Linked DNA regions of Bombyx mori. Each later gene encodes a partner of the first gene's protein in a complex. Links are inferred from orthologs where the notes say so. Each region holds a gene or a part of one and is shown on either strand. Other genes may lie near its edges.

Evidence for each region.
Region 2: FACT complex subunit spt16 (region 1) and FACT complex subunit Ssrp1 share a complex: the UniProt entries of both Drosophila melanogaster proteins name them as parts of the FACT complex. The link is inferred for Bombyx mori from reciprocal best matches to the Drosophila melanogaster genes dre4 and Ssrp.

Annotation. Positions count from the first base shown.
Region 1 is NC_085116.1:13,778,270-13,781,774, forward strand, and holds the end of FACT complex subunit spt16, read left to right. Parts: intron 1-603; coding exon 604-751; intron 752-1,111; coding exon 1,112-1,235; intron 1,236-1,546; coding exon 1,547-1,835; intron 1,836-2,216; coding exon 2,217-2,390; intron 2,391-2,588; coding exon 2,589-2,595; 3' UTR 2,596-2,885; downstream 2,886-3,505. Other genes in the region: protoheme IX farnesyltransferase, mitochondrial, read right to left, coding at 3,181-3,419. UniProt on the Drosophila melanogaster protein: Component of the FACT complex, a general chromatin factor that acts to reorganize nucleosomes. The FACT complex is involved in multiple processes that require DNA as a template such as mRNA elongation, DNA replication and DNA repair.
Region 2 is NC_085114.1:11,975,555-11,979,914, reverse strand, and holds the start of FACT complex subunit Ssrp1, read left to right. Parts: upstream 1-1,291; 5' UTR 1,292-1,700; coding exon 1,701-1,751; intron 1,752-1,858; coding exon 1,859-2,044; intron 2,045-2,897; coding exon 2,898-3,113; intron 3,114-3,364; coding exon 3,365-3,543; intron 3,544-3,792; coding exon 3,793-4,032; intron 4,033-4,276; coding exon 4,277-4,360. UniProt on the Drosophila melanogaster protein: Component of the FACT complex, a general chromatin factor that acts to reorganize nucleosomes. The FACT complex is involved in multiple processes that require DNA as a template such as mRNA elongation, DNA replication and DNA repair.

The DNA.
Region 1 (3,505 bases):
GTAAATTAATTGTGTTATTATAGTATAAGCTAGTTGAATGGTTTATACGCTATGTTTGTATAAAGCGAGTTACCTGCAGTCAAACTGCGTAAGCAGTTTTGCGGGGCATGTTTTGAATGGGTAACTTTTTATGAATAAATATATTACATACATACATAATATGTTACATATAGTTTAGAATGAAATAGATTTGTGATAGAAGAAAAATCTGTGAAGAATAGATAACTAATCCACAATATAGCTTACAGATGATGTGTTTGGTTAAGTAAACAACTATTTCTAATTCATTGTCAAGTTTTAAACAGGTATACACAGATATTATAAATGGGAAAGGTTGTGAGGATGGATATGTATTACTCATTCATGCTAAACCTACTGGAAGGATTTTGATAAACTTCAAAATGCAATCGATAGCTTATCAAATATATTATCATGGTAGTAAATAGCCTATTATATAGTATGATCAACGCAGTGGCCACTTCGATTCAAGAAATTGATGTTACAATTAGCAATATTCACAGGAGAGCATGGTCGTGTTGCAGTCTGTCATGAATATTTTTAAGGAGAATGTATAGAAAAAGAAATGTTTTTTCTATATTTCAGTTCTTGTGATATCCGGTACTCGGAGGGTATACAATCGTTGAACTGGACCAAAGTTATGAAAACTATAACAGATGACATTGAGGGCTTCTTCGAAAATGGTGGCTGGTCATTTTTGGATCCAGAATCTGATGGTGAAAATGAACAAGAGGTTTGTATATCAGAAAAGTAGAAAACGTTATAAACGATTTTCTGTTCATTTATTTAAAATAGTATTTAAAAAATTTAAGAAAATTTAAATTATTTTACGTAACAATATACACACTTTTTGTGAATATCTAAGAAACTTTTTTTTAATCATAGTATATATAACTTCTGATATTGGACAACAAAACATAATTTAACATATAACCCAAAGGACTTTAAAGAAAAGTTATTTGAAGCTTAAAAGTAGATATAGGTAATATAATTTTAGAAATTAATTTTCTATGAGATTATTTCGCGTAGATAATGACAGAATTGTTTCGATCCATTCAAAACAACAAATCTGATAAAACTAATTGTATTTTAGGAGGAAGATAGTGAAGATGAAGATGAAGCGTACGAGCCTACGGACGCTGAGTCTGATGAATCTGAAGGGTCTGACTATGATTCTGAGGCGTCTGATGAATCTGACGCTTCGGGTGATAGTGAAGGTGAGAATAACTAATTGTCAATAAATTAAAAAAAATCGGCTAGATGCCAGTTATTCATACATTACCAATATCTTTGACTAAATTGAGATTACCATGATCTTATTTTCGAAGTCAATAAAAAGGCTGTTTAATTTGTTATATTTATGGTTTCTATTAATAATCTCTGGCAAATCATAAGTGTGCTATTAATAATTATTCGTTTATTTGTTCGAATAGTTTATTCGTTTACATTTACTGGTTTACTGGTTGGTTTACTGGCTTTAGACATTACCACAAGTACGAATGTTACATATTAATTACTTGATTCGCAGAGGAAGACGAAGAATCCGGTAAAGACTGGTCAGATTTAGAGCGGGAAGCTGCCGAAGAGGATAAAAAAGACCGCAACTTCGATCGAGATGACTTCGACCGGAAACGTAAAGGACGAAACCAACAACGCTCGTACGACTCTGATGAGGGAGCCGCCAAGAAAAGCAAACATGACAAGTCTAATCATAAAAGTTCTAGTTCAAACCACAAAAGCTCTAGTTCCAATCATAAAAGTTCGAGCTCAAACCATAAGAGCTCCAGTCATAAAAGCCCTTCAAAGAACAGTAGCAGGTATGTCTGAATTGTTTAAATTAGAAAAAATAATTATGAGAAAGGAAAACTACGTATGAAAGCATCACTGAAAAATATTCAGATCTGTAAATCCCAGAAACTCAGCCTGGGTTGCAATAAGTTGAGAAAATTTTAGTGTACAGTATTGACTGACAGGATAGCCCTAAAATGATAGTAACATAATGTAACTAAGATTAAGTGAAAAGTATAATATTTTTCAATGATTATTATAATAATTATTCGGCCATTAAGCAGGCCGAATGCAGGTAGCATTGGAGGAAGCTGGTGCAAAAACTGGACCAAGGTGGTCACGACCCTCAGCAATGAGGAAACGACAGAGAAGAGAAGAGATTATAATATTTATAATTGCCCTAATTTCAGCCCTTCCAAGAACCGGGATAAGCACCACAAATCATCCCACCATGATCGACACCACAAGAGTGACCATAAGTCCTCTAGTAAAGACAAAGACAAGAAACATTCTAGTGACCATAAATCACACAAACGGTCACGCGATGACAGCAGAGAACACGGCAACAGCGCAAAGAAAGCGAAGTGAGTATTCTAAAAACAGATATATTTTATATAAATTTGGTTGCGTGCATAAATTGAAAGTAATAAACAACAGACTTATTTGATAAAAAGTCAAAAGCTGAAATATTTATCTAATAATTTTCTATAAAACAGAAATGCATGTCCCTACCACGTTATTTAATATGTCATTAATAATTAAAAAAAATATTCTTGTTTCAGAAAATAAAAAAGCAAACGTTTTGATACAAAGGATTCAAACGGGTTTCATTCGCCACAGCGGCTTGTTAATAATAATTACGTATGTGATTGTGTCGTCTCATAATTTGTCCGTCTAATGTTAAAAAACAGGTCTGAGTGTTTTGTATGTATGTTGTTAATAAATTTTCAGTTGAGAATGTGACACGATAATAGTTAAGTAAATTTAAATAAATAAAGAACCTGTGCCCCACTTACACAGCACACGATATTGTTTTTCCCGAAAAAAGCAAAGTGAATAAGAAAAATAAGAATTCATAATCTGTGTGTATTTTATTTATTTTTAAATCATAAATAACACGATTAAAAATAAAATAACAAAAAAGTATTATAACCCCAAAATTAAGATTAGGAAATATTCAGTTAGTAGTTACTAGTAAATATATGTACAGCAGTAACACATACAGGAATTTTGTGTTATTTAAATGAAATTCCGAAACCTTGTTTTGAGGTTACAATTCAAATCTCGTAATAGATAACTTACAATCTTCTACATTGATCACATTTGTACATTATGTACAGCAAATAAAATCTACCTACATATAACGTAAAATAATTAGCACTGTTTGTCGTTTCCTTGGGCCACAACGACCGGTCCTCGAGGTAGTACTGTAATTCTCTTGTCTAATATGCCTACGTCCTGGATTTTGGTGTCGGTCTGCTCTTGAGTGTCACTCGAACTCCAGTACTTCTTATTTACTAGCATTAGCAACATTAATGCTGGTAGGTGAAGTAGAGAAAATCTGAATAGCTTCCGCGAACTTGCGCTGTCTGATTTTTGGTAGAATTGCCATGCTGTAACAGATTTTAGATATTGATTTGGTTAATAAACAATGATAACAAAGATATTATTGACATCATTCCAACACGGTAATACAATG
Region 2 (4,360 bases), on another chromosome or scaffold:
ACCAACCAACCATCATATAATATATCTATGTTGGAAAAAAATGTGTATGATACCATAGAAATGTATGTATCTATATTTTAACTGGAATTTTTTAATTACAGTCAAACCTGGGTAAGTGAGAACTGGATAAGTAAGAAAACTCTATAAGTGAGAGTAATAGCAAGGACCCGTCATTTTAAGCTCCCAAAACCTCTATTAGCGAGAAACAGAAACCTCTGTAAGAGAGAGTCGTTTTTCCTCATGGACCTCCGTAAGTGAGACTGCTACCTATCCTATACCTCTATAAGCGACAGCCGAGCTTTATTTATTTATTTATATTATTTAGGCGGAACAAATGACAAAACAAATTACAAATTTAACATCTGCTATTTTATGACTCATTTTTAACTTTCGTGGAACTTCCTATCATTGTTTTTGTATTGTTTCCTCGTGAATATTGAACCTATTCTATTTCGTGGAACTAAATAACGTTGTTATTTTATCGTATTCTTTTATCGCATTATTTTCGAATGGACACGTGTGCCTGTGTTGTCGGACTTACTCAGTTTATCGTTAATCAATTGCGAAGGAAAGTTCTGTTCTGCATCATGTAAAAACAGAAAATTAAAGTACTGTCATTAAAGTCATAAACTTAAAATAGTGAATGCATTTGAATGCGGAAAATCGCGAATCGAAATTCAGAGGGAGCATTAGCGAGAAACTCGGGTTAGTGAGAAACCTCTATAAGCGAGAATGAGATTGTGCTCCCTTGAACTCTCGCTTATCCAGGTTTGACTGTATATGAAAAATGTAAAATTGAATGAAAACTCTACGATAGTAGAATACGTAGAATTACTTAATGGCATATTTAAGATATTCATAAGATCATAGAATAACACTTAAATAACGGTAGTAGCCTGCAATCTCTACTTATTACAGTTGCGAGAGTCGTTAAAAGTTACTTAATAGTCAACAAATACTGAATCCTTTAACTCAATGTGTGATTATTATTTTAATAACATAAAGCCTTTTATTTCCTTATACATAGATTAAACTATTATTTAAGTTAACATCATAGATTTTTTAAGGGATTTTATGACCTGGTAACTAAGACCTTTAAGTCATGTCTTATTTTAATTTATTTTCTTATTTTTATGAAAAATGATGAAATGAAATGAAGATGATTAATTTGAGACATTAATCAACTGGGATGAAATCAAATGAAACGAGATGAGAATATCGGATGAAATATAATCTCAGTAAAATGGTGGTCATCTATGTACTGAGACTTTTTCATTGCACTTTTTGGAGGATCCCGAGAAGTGACGTCCAGCGGCTTTGTTTCATTTTCCCACATTTGTGCACTTTCACAGATATTAAACAGTTAATAAACCTCCGTTATTACACATTTAAACCTGAAGAAGCACTAAATAGACAAAATAAAACAAATCACACAACTTCACTCCTCGCGCTCCCGCCAAAAAGTCTCCTAACATCATAGATACACACATGTTATCATAGATTACACTTTAATGAATAACGTAACTTATAGTGGGTGAATTGAAAATTAAACTTGAAAACTAGTAAATGAAAAGTTTTTCGTTACACACTATAAAACACAGTGACTAATTAATCATTGAAACTATTATTCAATCTTAAGGAAATATACGCTAATTTTACATTGTTACATCGCGTTGTAAAGTATTGTCAAATAACGAAACATGGAGTTTTTAGAGTATAACGATGTTTCCGCAGAAATAAAAGGAAACATGGTATGTCGATGAAGAATGAATGTCTTTTTATTTATAACTTAACGCTTTATGAAAAGCATTTTAAGAAACATTATGGAGAATCATATTAAGAGTGCTTGGCGTTTCAGGTACCAGGGAGGTTAAAAATGACAGACCAAAACATAATTTTCAAGAATAGTAAAACCGGCAAAGTTGAACAAATATCAGCTAATGACATTGAGCTGGTGAATTTCCAGAAGTTCATTGGTTCGTGGGGCTTACGTTTGTTTCTCAAAAATGGTACTTTGCACAGATACGGAGGTTTTAAAGAAGGTGTAAGTAAATACAACATAAGTTTTCCATAATTGACAAAATTTACACGTCCCTGCGATAGATAACTCATTTATTATGCAAAATAACAGATGCGACAATAGGTTCTGGTTTTTGTTCTAAACCATAACATTTCATACTTGAAATCATAAGAATATGGGTTATAATTTGCCAGTCATTTTAAAATAATCAACAAAAACGATCCCGCCTAAGTACCATTTCAAACTTATTGTTGGAATAGAAGGGAACAACAGAAGGGCTGTTGTTTTTAAAATCAAACATAATTGGAACTGTGTTTTAAAAATTGAAATTTGTTTAGAAACAAGAAAATATTTTTTCAAAATTATTAGGTCACATATTCTATACACTCTGATACAAATAGAAGAAATTACAAAAAAGTATGTGTAATAAATTTATTCTATTCAGTTTTTATTAAGCTTGTCAAATATATTTCATAACGAAATAAGAATTACTCTGTTGCAGTGTTCTGTGGAAGAGTTCTGAATTTAAAATGTTTTCTTAAAAATAACCTCTTAAGTAGTTATTAATGTAGAATTATAATTTAAATTAAGTTATCTACTTATAAACAACAGGTTTGTCCTGGGGGTTAGTTAAAAAATGACAATAAAACTAGCTTAATAAATTCTAGCTAAATGTTTTTTTTTTTATTGCCCTTGTAGGCAGACGAACATATGGCCCACCTGATGGTGAGTGGTTACTGTCGCCCATGGACTTCAGCAATGCCAGGGGCAGAGCCAAGCCACTGCCTACTGCTACAATGAAAATGAATTAAACAAATGAAGTGATTTTATGATTCTATGATTGGAATCATCTAATTAAATAATTGAAATACTACAGGAGCAAGAGAAGGTTGCAAAATTCTTCAAAGCCAATTATAATAAAGACATGCTAGAGAAAGAGTTATCTCTAAAAGGTTGGAACTGGGGTACAGCTAAATTTAATGGAGCAGTACTAAGTTTCAATGTTGGTACAAACACCGCTTTTGAAATACCATTGCATTATGTCTCTCAATGCAATACAGGAAAGAATGAAGTCACACTCGAATTTCATCAGGTTAGTTCTGCTATCATGAAAATATCTAAAAAAATATCGAAAAAACTTAAAGTTGTACTTAACAAGGGTAAGATATCTAATATAATCATATCAAACATGCAACTATTGATTGACTCAAATAAAACATCTGCAAAAGTAAAAATGTCTGTTATTTGTTGTGTCTGTGTCTAAGAGGCATATTTGTAGAGAACAATTTCCAGCAAATGGATAGTGATGATAAGATACTTTATATTTTGATTTGAAAATTACAGAATGATGACACACCTGTATCATTGATGGAAATGCGCTTCCACATTCCCACCAGTGAAGTGGCCAATGATTTGGATGCAGTTGAAGCATTCCACCAACAAGTAATGAACAAAGCGAGTGTTATTTCAGTTTCTGGTGATGCTATTGCTATATTCAGAGAACTACAATGTTTGACACCTCGGTATGGTTTCCAAATATTTTTGTAATTTTCACTAATTTGAAATATAAGATTAATATTTGTATATGTCTACAACAACAAACCAGTTCAGTCTTGGTATGGCTATTTTGTACCTTTTATGTTTCGGAATTGAGTAGAAAAGTAAAAATAAAAATGCAGTATTATTAAATTCAGTGAATTGCAATTGAATGTAAAATAATAATGTTCTGAAAAACGATCAAATTAATTTATTTGTTTTAAATTTTTTTTTAGTGGTCGTTATGATATCAAGGTATTCCAGACATTCTTTCAGCTTCACGGTAAAACCTTTGACTACAAGATCCCTATGTCGACAGTTCTCCGTTTATTCTTATTGCCTCACAAGGATACGAGGCAAATGTTCTTTGTCGTTTCCTTGGATCCACCGATCAAACAGGGTCAAACAAGGTACCATTATTTAGTGCTGTTGTTTGGTATTGAGGAGGAGACAACTGTAGAACTTCCTTTTACAGAGTGAGTAACATTTTTGGCAAATTGTCTATTATTGCATAATCTAAAGTGAAGTAAAATAAAAACATATTATTATGTTTATATTTAAATAGGGTAACTCCGACACCATCACCTTTTAAGTAATGAAATGTAGCTGTTAAGATTGCTATGTATTATTCTTGCATTGTTAGTAATCAAATATGTGCCTGCATGTTCTGTTTATCACTGTAATTTTGTTATATTTGAATTTCAATTTAAACAATTGCAGGGAAGAATTGAAAGACAAATATGAAGGTAAAATAACAAAGGAATTATCTGGACCGACATACGAAGTTCTAGCCAAAATCATGAA